2 linked regions of the Diceros bicornis minor genome follow. The protein of the gene in region 1 purifies or fractionates together with the protein of each later gene. This does not show direct contact. Links are inferred from orthologs where the notes say so. Each region holds a gene or a part of one and is shown on either strand. Other genes may lie near its edges.

Region 1 (7,009 bases):
ACTGCGGGTCTGGGTCAGGGGTGGGCACAGGACAGGGCTCAGGGTGCTGAGACCTGGTCTCACAGACAGCCACTGATGACCTACCGCCCATAAATTAGAACATGCTGGGAAGAGCTAGGGAGCTAAGTGTGCGAACTGGCACCCTCTCAGCAGGACTGAGTCAAGTGCTTGAGTGGGGCAGTTGGCACCAGGGCTGAACTAGGTGGGATCCAACACCTATAGAGAGAAAAAGGCACAAGGGACTGGGACAGGGGACCAGGGTCCCTGCCCTAGTGTCTTCTCAGTCAGCATACACCGAACACTCATTTCCAGTTATTAAAAAATATCCTACCTAGCCATCCTCTCAAAAACCCATAACCCCAGTCTATGAGACAAAACCAAATTGGGGGACATTCCACAGAATACCCAACCACCACTCTTCAAAGCCGTCAAGGTCATGAAAGACAAGGGAAATCTGAGAACCTGCCGCAGCCCAGAGAACGCTAAGAAGACAGATGACTAAATGTAATATGGCATCGTGGACAGACGCCGGAATAAAAAGAGGGCATTAGGGCGCAACTAGTGAAACCAGAACAGAGTGTGGAGTTTAGTTAATAGAAATGTATGATGTTTGTTCCTTAGTTGTGACAAATGAACCAAGTAATCTAAGGTGTCAACAACGGGGGAACTGCGTGAGGGGTATATGGCAACTCCACTATCTTTGCAACTTTTCTGTAAATCTAAAATTACTCCAAAATAAAAAGTTGATTTAAAGAAAAATACTTTACCTAGTCCACGTGTATAACCTAGGTCTTTCCAGAAGGAGAAGACTCTGGGTGATGACTGGGCCTCCTCACTGCCAGCAGTCTGTCCAAGAGCCTACCCTACTCTCACCTGCTGTTACTCAACATCTATACTGAGAAGCAGAAAGTCGGCCCCTAAGTCTCACTTAAAAGGTGGAAGACTTTTTAAAGAACTTACTGCTTAGCAAAGGAGATAAAACACACACCTCACTAATAATAATAATAATAATACCCCCTTAGGTAGCACCTACTGTGTGCCAGGCACTAGTCTAAACGCTTGACCTCGGTTAACTTATTTAATCCTCGTTAACAGTACTAAGAAATAGGTACAATATAATAATGGCCACGTACATTGGTACGTTTCTATTAACCAAACTCCACACTCCATTCTGGTATTATTAATGGAAACTGAGGCACAGGGAAATAAAGGACATTGCCAGTGAGCTACTAAGTGCGGTGCAGTCAGGGATGGAACGCAATAACCTGGTTCCAGAGTGTGCTCTTAACTGCTCCTCTATACCGACTAGGTATAACGCAGCCCCTATAGCGCCAGTGCTCAAATACCAGCAGAGTGGACAATAAGTGTCTAAGGGAAAGTGGTCAGATCCCAAGAAGGACTTGCTGCATGCAACAAAAGCCTGCGTATGTTCATTCCCAGATAACTCTCAAGATCGGGGTTCCCCCACCTTCTCTGGATCTTGATTCAGTTTCATAACCAACACAAAAGTGATGAAGGCTGAACTCCAGGTGTCACATCCTGATGTGGACAGAGGCAGGGTGGGAAAGGGAGGGGTTTCTGCAGCAGAGGAAAGACCCGCATCCACTTGGGCTGGTGGAGGGCCCAGCCACAGGGAGGGGATGGCGAGGAAGCTCTCCTCTTTTAGCAAATGCAAGTGTAGGTCTCCCCATTTTTGGCAGGGCTGGAACACGGATCCAGTGGGGCGCAGCAGAGGCGGGGGACTCTTTGAAAGGAAGTCAGGGTGAGGGGCAGGGGCAGAAGAATGAACCAAGTGTCTCGAAAGAAGTGCTGAGGATAAGCGCTGAGGGGAGGTGGGCACGGGATGGAGAAAACAGCGAGGGCGACGATGCCTGAATTCCCTGCACCGAGAGGGGGCTGACCGCCCATCATCTGGCGTGGAGGAGGGTGGGGACGGCTGGACACTGAGGAGTAAAGGCGACACTGCTAAAGAATGACCTATTAGCAGGTGTCGGATGGTCAGGAGTCTGGGGCTCTTGGCAGGAGGAGAGCAAGGCGTCAGACCGAGCCCCAGAATTCGTATTAATAATAAAACACACCGAACAGGCCTGCAGGGAGCCGGGCCCTGGGTCCCACGGCTCTCCGCTTATTTCATTCGCACAAACAACCCCACCTCATTTTGCGAACGGTTCCCCATCTATGAGGCCAGAGAACTTAAGTTATATGCCCAAGGCCACCCTGGCCGGTCTATGACTCACGCCAGCCTCGAACCACAAAAAGGGTTGGGGGACGGCAGTTGGGGGATAAGGAGACGAGCATGCGGCTGGCCGGAAATTCGTGAACCGGGGCAGGGAAACAAGAAATGAACCGACGCGGGTCTCGGGGAAGAGGAGGGGCCGAATTCCCGGAATCGCAGGGAGGAGGGGGCTGGACCCCCACGTCGGGGGGAAGGGAAGGCCGGAACTCCCGGGGTCGGGAGGAAGAGGGGGCTGGATCCCCGGATCAGAGGAAGCAGAAGGGCCGGATCCCGGGGTCGGAAGGAAGAGAGGGCCGGATCCCGGGATCCCGAGGGGAGGCCAGGCCCGCCCCCCGGTTGGGGCCGCGCGGGGGCGGGGCGCGGAGGGATCCGAGCGGGCCGTGCTGCGCCGCCCCCGGTATATCTGTTCCCAGTCCCCGGCGCCGCCTCAGTCCCCGTCCTCAGATCACGATCTCTCCTCACGCTACCCCGACGCCGCCTCCGCCCGCGTAGCCCCGGCCATGGCTCTGTAGCCGCCACCCCTCCGTGCCTCACGGCCCATCTCCGCGCTCACCGCGCTTGCGCTCTCCGCTCCCGCCTTCTTTCTTCAGCCGAGGCCGCCGTCGCCTCTCCTTTCTGCAGCCATGGAGTGAGTAACGCTCGCCCCTCCCTCTCCAACCGCCTTTCCCGCCCTTTGGAAGCTCGCGGCCCTCACAACGCGACCTGGGGGATGGCGAGACGAGAGCGAGGAATCACGGTCGCGCAGGCGCAGAAGAGGGAAAACGGGCCGTCGACGCGAGGCGGAGCATGCGCACTCGGCTCGAGGGGGGGAGGGTGCGTTCTTCCAGCGAGTGTTGGAGTTTAAAGACGGCCCGCGTGAGGTTGCGCCTGCGCACTACCCCCCAGGACGATTCCGCCCTCTCGCGGTTGCTCATGCGCAGCAGCCCACCAGAGTCCGTATTTGCGTCCGAAGGGCGGGCAGTAAGCAGCCGCACATGCGCAGTGACCCCCAGGAGGACGAAGCATGTGCTTTGGCCCTGGGTTAGAGAGCCGGGAGTGGAAGGGTGGTGGCGAGGAGAGCTGTTCCTCCCCGGCCTCCCGGCTCCCACGACCTGCGTCCCGGCTTCACATTGCTCAGGCGCACTGCATAGCTTCTCTTTCATCGGGCACCTGTTGGGGCGAGGGCTGGTGTAGATTGACAGGGTAGAAGGCGGGACTTAGAGGCAACCTGTTAAAAAGGGGGTGGAGCTAGGATCACAGCCATCGGGAGGAGTGGGGCTTGAGGGAACCCATTGTGAGAGGGGCGGGGCTCAGCGAACCGTTTGCTGAGGGGCGGGGTTTCGATCCGAGAAAGAGGTGGGGCCTCGGGGGAATCATCGGGGAGGGGTGGGGCTAAGATAAACAGTGAGGGGCGGGACTTAGAGGGTCGGGGGAGGTCACCGCAAAGTTAAAAGGGCAGAGTGGGATTTGAGTGGATCACATGGATGAAGGGGCGGGGCAGGGGGAAATTCCCCTGGGAGCTGATTTGAGATGGACTCGAGGGAGGCGATGGGGCCTAAAGGAAATATTTTAGAGGGGGTGGTGCGGCTGGAAGAAAATTCCCCTGGGATTGAGTTTTTTTACGAAGGGGAATATTATGAGGTGGGTGGGAGGAGTTAAGGAAATTCCCCGGGGAGACCTGTAGGTTTCTGTATTGGAAGGATCCGGGCTTGGGGATTCTAAAGAAAAGTAAGTCGATCCTAAAGCGAATTCCCTTGGGAGTGGGTGGGCCTCAGAGATTTGGGGAAAGAAAGAGCAGATTTAGAATTCTGAGAGCTAGGCTCGTCCCAAGCCCAGTTGGAAGCAGGAGTGGGGGAGGGGGGAGGACCCCAGGGAGGTGGGGGTGTGGCTTGGTTTCCCTGTGACTTCCGTAGTGGGTGAGGCTGGCTTCTGACCCCAGTCGCTTTTGCCTCCCACATGTAGGTCCTCCACTTCCGCCTTGGTGCCTGTCTTCGCCCAGCTGAGCAACCTCCAGAGCCCCCTGTCAGCTGCCGGTGCAGCCTCCTTCGTTGCCATCCGCGCCCAGCGCCTGTGCTGCAGCCATGTCACTCCTGGCGACCCTGGGGCTGGAGCTGGACAGGGCCCTGCTCCCAGCTAGCGGGCTGGGCTGGCTCGTAGACTATGGGAAACTCCCCCTGGCCCCTGCCCCCCTGGGCCCCTATGAGGTCCTTGGGGGAGCCCTGGAGGGCGGGCTTCCAGGGGGGGGAGAGCCCCTGGCAGGTAAGGGCAGGCAAAGAATGGAGGTGGGGTGAATTGGGGTATGGGGGGCAGGGGGAAGGAGGAAGAATTCCTTCATTCATTTATTCATTCAATCCATCAATATTTATTGAGCACCTATAACATGTCAGGTGCTGGGGATACAGATGGGAACAAGACTGACACGATCACTGTCCTCCTGGAGTTCACACTCTAGTGAGGAGACAGACGAGACATATTCAATGATAATGTGGCATAAGTGGGAAACAGTCATTTAGCTGAAAAATGACAACGGGGACCTAGTTTATAGTGTGTAGCCAGGAAACCCTCTCCAAGTAGGTAGCGTTTTGGCTGAGGCCTAAAGCATGGGAGGGAATGAGCCATGAAAAGATCCAAGGGAATAGCTTTTCAGGAGGAGGGAACAGCATATGCAGAGGCCCTGAGGAAGGAATTATTTTATTCATTAATGTGTCCGACATGCTTGGTACATAGTGGGTTTTCAATACTTAATGAGTTAAAGAGGAAACGGGGTGTGTTGTGTATGTGCAATCTAGTTTGCCTTTTAAGAATAAACTAGAGAGTAAATCAGACAAACCACAGGTGTAGAGTAATCAGTAAAGAGGATGTTGGAATGGTTGAAGTAATGGCTAATTGTTTTGTTGTTTGGGTCATTGGGTGGTTGACTGGTTCACTGATTGATTGGTTAAAAGGTTGATTGGTTGGTTGACTGATTCATTTAGTTGGTTGGTTGGTTGGTTGATTGGTTGACTCGGTTAATTGGTTAGTTAGATGTTTGACTGGTTTATTGGTTGGTTGGTTGGCTGGTTTGATGATTCATTGATTGGTTGGTTGACTGATTGGCTAGTTGGTGGGTTTACTCAGTGAATGGAATGAATGAGGCTGACATGAGTGAGCACCCGGTTGGGTGGAGGACCAGGAACTCAAGGACCTTTATGTCCCCCTGCACTCCTCCAGGTGACGGCTTCTCTGACTGGATGACTGAGCGGGTTGACTTTACAGCCCTTCTCCCTCTGGAGCCCCCCTTGCCCCCAGGTGCCCTCCCCCCACCTTCCCCACCCCCACCTGACCTGGAAGCCATGGCCTCCCTCCTCAAGAAGGAGCTGGAGCAGATGGAAGACTTCTTCCTTGATGCCCCACTCCTCCCGCCATCCTCCCCACCACCACCACCAGCACCAGCGCCCTCCCTCCCCCTCCCCCTCCCCACCTTTGACTTCCCCCAGCCCCCTGCCCTGGATACGCTTGACTTGCTGGCCATCTGCTGCCGCAGTGAGGCCGGGCATGGGGACTCGGGTTTGGCCCACTTGCCTCCCCCACAGCAGCCCCCTCCTCCTCCACCTCAGCCCTCTCGCCCGGCCCCCTACCCCAATCCTGCCACCACCCGAGGGGACCGCAAGCAAAAGAAGAGAGACCAGAACAAGTCGGCAGCTCTGAGGTACCGCCAGAGGAAGCGGGCAGAGGGCGAGGCCCTGGAGGGCGAGTGCCAGGGGCTGGAGGCTCGGAACCGGGAGCTGAGGGAGAGGGCGGAGTCAGTGGAGCGGGAGATCCAGTACGTCAAGGATCTGCTCATCGAAGTGTACAAGGCTCGAAGCCAGAGGACCCGCAGCAGCTAGCCGGGCAGGGGCTTTGGGCAGTAGGGGGCGCTGGTCTTTAGCTTGGGTCACTTCTGTTTCTGGAGCTGAGGTGGGAGAGTCCCTCGGCATCCCCCTGCCTCCACCTTCATTCCAGATCTCTCTCTCTCTCCCTCTCTCTCTGCTTTTATTCTCCTCTCTGCTCATCCATTTCTGAGTTTGCTCCCCTCCTCCCTCCCCAGAATCATGGATGTTTGGCATTAGTCAACATCTGTACTCCTCAAGTAACAGCCGAGGGGCTGAGGCCCACAGGGAATTCGGGGAGCAGGGCAGAGCTTGGGAACCTGGTCTCTCAAACAGGGACGTGTGGCCAGGAAGCTATGCAGAATGAGGCCAGGAGAGCCATCTGGGGACGCAAGTCAGGGAGGGTTTGAAGAATGGCACCCATGTAATCAAAATGCCAAGCCAGGTGACCTTCGGGAGCTCCATTGGGGCAGGGAGCCAAAAGGTAGCCAAGTTCACAGAGCAGGTGGATGTGCAGGCAGATGGGGAGGCGGGCAGGGCGGGGGATGGCCATAGTGGGCACCGGGTGTTCATTTTAGCTCTGGGAGGAAATCAGTGTTTTGTGCAGGTGTTGGGAGAGGGGCTGCCTCTAGGTGAGCGAGGGCGGGGACTGATCCTTTGGGGGGTTGTGAGCGGAAATAAAATGAAGAATTTTCTCTGGCCTGTGAGTCTTGTCTGTGAGGGGAGAAGTTGGGGAGAGGGCAATCTTAGGCCAAAGACAATAATGATGATAGGAGACACAACAGATAATACTTCTAGGGCCGCCCCGTGGCTTAGCGGTTAAGTGCGCGTGCTCCGCTGCTGGCGGCCCGGGTTTGGATCCCGGGCGCGCACCGACGCACCGCTTCTCCGGCCATGCTGAGGCCGCGTCCCACATACAGCAACTAGAAGGATGTGCAGCTATGAT
Region 2 (7,379 bases), on another chromosome or scaffold:
TTTCTGTCCTCCCACACTCTGGACAATTCTATTACAGTTCTCATCACTCTGTATTTTAATTATCCTTTTTTTGGCTCATCCCACACAACTACGAATTACTTGAGACCTGTCTCTCTCCTCTCTGTATCCTTAGCACAGTATATGGCATATTGCGGACTGACTTTTAATATATGTTTCAGTAAAGAGACAAATGAAGAACTCAGAAGTATTAATGATAATTACTATATTAGAAATAATACAATAAGATAAAGAATGGCTTTAAGAGCTTCTGCAGCAAGTAAAACGCTGCTTTATCTACGCAGATTTAACATGGAACAGTGATATTTTCAGGAGGTTCGGATAAGCTGTTTGTCTCAGCATCATATGCCCTCAAAAAAATTTCACTTTTTCTATTGGTACCTATTTCTTCTTTCACGACCTTGTCAAATTTCCATTTTTTTTCTTTCTACTTTCAGTAATAAACCATGAGATTCCCAATGTATTGCTTATCCTTATGTATGCAGAATCACCCTAAGCCAAAATCCTTTTAGACAAGATTGCTCTGAATATAAGATTTCTACTAAACAATCTACTGATGTTTGTAAACCTTGTTTTGTTTTTTTCAGCTGCTCTTTGCTGATTCTAATCAAATTGTTTTTCCTCCTGTCAGGGGTTCTTTCCTTCTCTTCCCTATCTTCTCAACCTCCATCTTTTTTCTACTTAATTTTGACAGTATATCGCAAATCAAACAGAGGCTACCTTTCTTCTGCTATACATACAATCTAATCACCTTAGATCACTTGTGATAACCACTGTATTTAGCGTTTTGTTGTTGTTGTTGCTTTGTTTTGTTTCTAAAGTCACTACTCATGCTTTCGTTAATGCTCAAAATACAACTCATGCTAAGCTGCTTTCTTGCCTATCTCGGAGTTATTGAGATTCTGGAGGGTTCAGGGTCATTCAGACAGTCACCAATATTTACTGAGAGCTTATATGTTCCAGGTACTCTGTGAAGTACTGGAAATACAAAAATAAGTAAGGCAGACACAGCCCCTGCCTTGGTGCTTACAATCTAGAAAAGAAGACAGACAATAAACAAACAAGTGGGCCAGCTCCGTGGCATAGTGGTTAAGTTCACGCATTCTGCTTCGGTGGACACGGGTTCGCCGGGTTGAATCCTGGCATGGAGCTACATACGGCTCATCAAGCCATGCTGTGGCAGCGTCTCACGTACAAAATAGAGGAAGACTGGCAAAGGCATTAGCTCAGGGACAATCTTCCTCACCAAAAAAAGAAAAAAAAAAGAAAAAACAACAAACAAGTATGAATAATTTCATCATGACTGTGCCAGATGCTGCACAGCAACATAGGGTACTATTGGAATACTGTGTGCTGAACATCTGATAATTAGTCCTGTGAACTGAAACTTTACAGTAAGTAGCTTGTAGACTTGTGACCTATTTTCAAAACTGCAGAAACACTGCTAGCACCTTTTAAAATTCAAATCATCTCTCATCAACAAGAATCGGACAATGGCACACAACAGATGTCATGCATTAGGATGGGTGCCAAGTTTTTTATTTTTTCATCTTTAAGAGAATCAGTTTATTACAAATAAACATTTCCACAAAGCACTGCTTGATTACAGCAAGTCTGGTATACTTTCTGATCACACCCACTTTCACATGCTGCTGGCTTAACAAAAATCCCTTCCAACTTTGGGGCCTAATTTTCTAAAAGGAAAAAGAAAGAATTAACAGGGGATTCCTCCTCCATGGCAGGCACCGAACCTGGTGCTTTCAAATCTATTACCTGACGTGATGCTCACAACAACCCCAAGAGCAAGTTAGGACTATCCTTATTATTTTATGAGTGTCATGTCTTGAAATAGGTTTCTCAGGACCAACCTTCTAAAAACAGCAACTGCATCCAGGCTCTCTATCCCTTTACCCTGCTTTGTGTTTCTTCAGACCACCTGCCTCAGTGATATTTTATTGATGATTCCATGGTCCTTCCCCTCCTCCCAGACCCCAAGAACTTAAGCACGTTGAGAGCGTGAGTTCCTGTAACAGTGTCGGGCACAGTTGTTGGAGTCAGTAAACACTTGTCGAAGGAATGAAATACAGAAAGAGAGGCTTCAAAAGGTTATGTGGCCATGCCAGAGCGGAACGAAATAAGGAAGAAGAGAGACCTTTCCCCTCGAAGTCGGACGTGTGCCTACACTTGAATAGCACATCCACCAGAAGACGAAAACCGCCAGGATGGGAAGGGAACAAAAAAAACCAGTTCAGATCCCAGCTGCGGGTCATTTCCAACATCAGCCTGTCCGTACCTGGTACTGGGAGAGGGAGGGCTCCTCGCCGGCGCCGCTGAGGCCCCGAAGGCGAACCACCAAGAAGGAGCTGCCTTCCCCATCCCACAGGAAGAGCTCTCCGCCGAGGCCTAAGACCAGGTTTCTCGTAAGCAACTGCGGCGGCGGCGGCGGCGACGAAGGCAGTGATGAAGAAGCCGGTTTCTGAGCCTCGGCTGGGCTCTGGTTTTTCAGTCCTTCCCGCAGCCGCGTGAACACGACGTGGTTAGGAAGCCAGCTCTGCCACAGCTCACCGTCGCCCGCGGGGCCCTCGGCGGCCGCCATCTTTGGCCCAACTGCTCCCTTCACTCCAGTTGCTCAACCCGCCGCTGAGCGCAGCCAATCCGCAGCCAGCCGTCCACTGCTTCAGCCAATCGTCGAGCAGGCAGCCCGGAAGCACGAGGCTAGAGTGGGGGCGGGGCGACGGTGAGACCAACCGCAGCCAAAGGGGGCGGGACAGACCAGTACCTGCTTAGAGACAGCTTTGGTGCTGCGGAAAGTCAGTACCTGCGGGAGCGCCTGAGACCTGTGTAGTGTCTGATTGCTTATTGGACACTCACACCTGGATAAACCTACACATCCAAAACCTCCCCTCAAGACTTACTTCCCAAATGTCACTACTTCAGTCACCCATCCTTGAGATGCCCAAATGTGTCTCCGTGTGGGGCCGGCCGGTGAGACAACGCTTCCCAGAATTCCCTGCGAGCCAGCGCGATCGGCACCCAGAAACTACAACTCCCAGGGTTCTGCGCGCTCCCGAGGAGGGGGGCGGAGCTTTCTGGCGGCGACTCCCGCGAAGAGCAGATGGCAGAGCCCTCAGGGTCTCGGCGCCGCTCGCTGTACAAACTGGTGGGCTCGCCGCCTTGGAAAGAGGCTTTTCGGCAGGTGAGTGTGGGGTTTGGGAAGCCTTGGCTGGGCCGTCGTCACTCCTCTTATCCGTGCTGGAGCCGCTCTCCTCCGTGCCTTCGCCTCAGCCCAGCTGGGGGACTCAGGTGCCGGGAGCGCTTGGCCAGTGGAGGTGGACCTGGACCCTGGCCGCCCGCCTGTGGAGCTGGCCTTGGCCACTGCCCGGCCGCCTCCCAGAGTTTCTGGACCCCTAGGTGTGGGATTAGCCCGGGCCGGCCCAGTCCCAGGAAGCCTTAATTTTGATTTCGGGTTTGTATTAAATTTGAAGTGTGGTCATGACCGCTCCTCTGCGCTTCTGCGATAACGCCACCACCGCCTGCTGCTGTTGGATAGGTGGGCACCGAGAGAGGCGCTTTGTATGCGTACCTCATGCGAGATAGAGATAATTTCTATTCCAGAGAGGAATCGAGTAATAAGAAGTTATTTCTAATTCCAGAAATTATTTCTGCTCCAAATTGTTTCTTCTAAGCCTCAGTTACTAAGTCTTAGCAAAGTTGTGCCCTAAGTCAGTTCTGACCGCTTGTGCACTCGGCATAGTTCCTGTAAGTAATATGGCCTACCTTTCCAGGAATCTCTAAAGTAGTGGGTATATCCCAGGAAAATAATCTGATGATAGAAATGACTGTTGACAGCAGGGTTTCTCAACCTTAGCTATTGACATTTTGAGGAAGATGGTTCTTCCTTGTGGTGGGCTGTTCTGTGCATTGCAGAATGTTTAGTGGCATCCCTGGCCTCTACCCACTAGGTGTCAGTAGCCCTACAACTAGAGTTGTGACAACCAAAAATGTCTCCAGGCATTGCCAAATGTCCCCTGGGGGACAAAATCGCCCCAACTTGAGAAACACTGTTGTACAGGAAGGCGACTATCATAGCCATATCTAGAGTAGCAAGAATTTGGAGCAACCTAAATGTCCTGTAATAGCACAGTGGATGCTGAGTTATCACCACCCAGCCATTGAGAAAACTGGCATTGAGGACAGAATATGAGATATAGTAATCTGGAAACACATGAACAAAGCATTGTGGTTTCACCTGTCTACATGTGGATAAGGACCAGAGAGGAATGTGCAAAAATAACAATAGTTAGGATTATAATTGAAATTTTGTGTCTATAAGTTTCCTTTAATGTTTTAACAACTAATCTAAGAGGTTTTTTGTTAAAAATGGAATGGGTTTTTTTTTCCCCCCATCCTTCTCCTTCTCCCAAGGGATGCCTGGAGAGAATGAGAAACAGCCGGGACAGGCTCCTGAACAAATACCGCCAGGCTGGAGGCCATCTACCAGGGGGAGCTCAGAACACCCTTCTAGTGCAAGAGGTGATGGAGGAAGAGTGGCATGCTTTGCAGTCAGTGAAGAGCTCTCCAGAGGCCTTGGCTCAGGTCAGGCTGGGATATGTGTTTTCAGGGAGGGTGCTACAGCACCAAGAATGGCTAGTGTCCTCTCTGTACCTGTTTCCCCAAGTCCTCTAAACCCATCCATCCTCTGGCCCGCAATCAGGATTCTAACTGCCTTTAACCCAGGTTCTCCTACCCTTAATGTGAGACTCGTCTAGATTAATGGTTCATAAATACCAGACTGTCGACCAGTTGCATCATTGCAGCATAATGTTTCATAATTAGTTTCATAATCACTTATGAAACTAAAAAGAAAGAAATTTCACTCCTTGGCTCCACCCCTTGAAATTTTGATTCAGTAGGCACGGGCTAGGAATCTCTCTTTTTGAAAAGATCTCCAGGGCCATCCCCGTGGCTTAGCGGTTAAGTGCGCGCGCTCCACAACTGGCGGCCCAGGTTCGCATCCCAGGCGCACACCAACGCACCACTTCCCCGGCCATGCTGAGGCCGAGTCCCACATACAGCAACTAGAAGGATGTGCGCTATGACATACAACTATCTACTGGGACTTTGGGGGAAAAATAAATAATAAATAAATAAAATTATAAAAAAAAAAAAAAAAGACCTCCAGAGGGGCCGGCCTGGTGGCGCAAGCAGTTAAGTGCACACGCTCTGCTGCGGCGGTCCGGGGTTCGCCGGTTCGGATCCCGGGCACGCACCGACGCACTGCTTGTCAAGCCATGCTGTGGTGGCGTCCCATATAAAGTGGAGGAAGATGGGCACGGATGTTAGCCCAGGGCCAGTCTTCCTCAGCGAAAAAAAGAGAAAGATTGGCAGATGTTAGCACAGGGCTGATCTCCTCACAAAAAAAAAAAAAAAGAAAGAAAAAAAATTTCCAGGAGCTTTCTGATTCTAATCTCAGTCAGAGTTGGGAGCTGGATGTGGATAGGAAACCATTTACCGTGTATCAGGAGGAGCACTGGGTTGGAAGTCAGTAGTTCCAGAATTCTGATCCGGGTTTTGCTATTGACTCTTAACTCTACTCTGCCTCTTTGAGCGTTAATTTTCACATGTATAATATGAAGAAGATACTGTTAGCATTGTGAGGACAATATAAGAAAACAGGTAGGAAACTGCTTTGGAAACATCAAAGCTCTCTATAATAATGATGCATTATTTGGTGCCTTCTATGTGTCCTACAGTATCTTCAATGTTTGAGTTACATAATCACAATCAGTGCTCACAAATACCCTCTGCGGGAGGTTTTATTCCCACTTTACAGAGGCCCAAACTGAAGTTTACAGAGGTTAGGAACTTTCCAGCAGTCACATAGCTCTGGCAGAACCATATACTTAGCTGCTGCACTATACTGTCTCCTTCAAATTTGGTGCCATTATTTTGTCCCTGGGTGGTTAATTTAATCTTTTGTTGATGACTTCTCAGCATGACCACATTACTGTATTATCAGCATTTTCTGCAGAAGGCCTTGGCTGATTTTTTCAGTTAAATCTGAGTTCTTCAAGCCAGCCTCCAAGTATGAATCATTGTGGGGCTTGTCAGCTGACTATAACCTCAAACCTCTGATGACCCCACTTTCTCTTGCAGTTGGAGGGGCCGATGGACCTGACTGTGCTGGAGGAAATCCAACAGGAGCTGATTGACCAAGGTGACCTCTGGGAGTAGTCCTTCCTACTATGGGGCTACTCAAGGGGCGGGCCCTGTGGCCTAGTGGTTAAGTTCAATGCGCTCTGCTTCAGCGGCCCAGGTTTGGTTCCCGGGTGCGGACCTACACCACTTGTTGGCGGCTGTGCAGTGGCGGTGACCCAAATACACAAATGGAGAAAGATTGGCACACTTGTTTAGCTCAGGAGGAATCTTCCTCAAGGGAAAAAAAAAAAGGAAGGAAGATTGGCAACACATGTTAGCTCAGGGCAAATCTTCCTCAGTGAAACAAAAAGATAAAAAAAAAAAAAAAAAAGCCTCAAGCTACTCTAGTGTTGATGTATTTTCTAAACAGAATTAGTTCTTAACTCCCCTTCTTCTACTTCCATCTTCAGTGTCCAGAAGTCTCTATTTTTATTCTGAAGTCTTGGCTGTCTGTCTTCAGCACACTGAAGACTCCTTCCATGATACTGTTATCTCCTATGACTACCCTACAAGGTAGTAGGAGACAGAAGAAAGTGGTATCTTACACAGGTTGTATAGCTAGTGGTGGAGTTGGGAAGCAAAATTAATTTTGTGAGTCCAGTTCCTATGTTTATTCTATCCTACAGTACCTCTCTATTAATGGATTAATAGTAATCCTGTTACCTTACAGGATACAGTGCATGATCAGATCTCTTGTGCACTACCTAATTTAAGTGCCTTCTCTCTCAATCCATTCTTTACTGACTCCCCAGGGTTTTGTGAGCATCTGCTTCCTGAGGTATCCATAGCACCGTAGAGTGCATAATTTAGCACGTTATATAGTAAGTTATTTATTCCGCATAGCCCTATCTTGATTAGGCTTAGTTTTTATCATCTGTAAAATAAAGATAATAGACCTACCCTATAAGTTTGTTTGTAGGCGTAAATAACATGTGTGGAAGACTTAGAGCAGTGCCTGGCATACAGAAAGCTTTCAATAAACGATAGCTGTTATGGTGAAGAGGCCAGAGCATGGACTCTTGAGCCAGACTGCTAAGATTCACTTCTTAGCTTTTCCGTCTTAACTTGTGTGGCACAGAGCAAAGCATTTCATCCCCCTGTGCTTCAGTTTCTTCATCTTTAAAATGAGGATAATAGCAGTGAAGTTAATACATAGAAAAGAC

Evidence for each region. Proteins that work in one complex are often made in the same cells at the same time.
Region 2: the proteins of NUP62 (region 1) and NUP88 purify together in Homo sapiens (co-immunoprecipitation; 4 studies listed by BioGRID and IntAct, counting the BioPlex papers as one, with this or other methods). This does not show direct contact. The link is inferred for Diceros bicornis minor from reciprocal best matches to the Homo sapiens genes NUP62 and NUP88.

What each region holds. Positions count from the first base shown.
Region 1 is NC_080773.1:25,283,308-25,290,316, forward strand, and holds the start of NUP62 (nuclear pore glycoprotein p62), read right to left. Parts: upstream 3,015-7,009; 5' UTR 2,790-3,014; exon of another isoform or gene 2,636-2,789; intron 1-2,635. Other genes in the region: ATF5 (cyclic AMP-dependent transcription factor ATF-5), read left to right, coding at 4,297-4,474, 5,426-6,081. UniProt on the Homo sapiens protein: Essential component of the nuclear pore complex. The N-terminal is probably involved in nucleocytoplasmic transport.
Region 2 is NC_080757.1:12,079,941-12,087,319, forward strand, and holds the start of NUP88 (nuclear pore complex protein Nup88), read right to left. Parts: upstream 3,011-7,379; 5' UTR 2,934-3,010; exon of another isoform or gene 2,890-2,933; intron 2,734-2,889; 5' UTR 2,615-2,733; coding exon 2,312-2,614; intron 1-2,311. Other genes in the region: RPAIN (RPA-interacting protein), read left to right, coding at 3,134-3,214, 4,444-4,614, 6,175-6,235. UniProt on the Homo sapiens protein: Component of nuclear pore complex.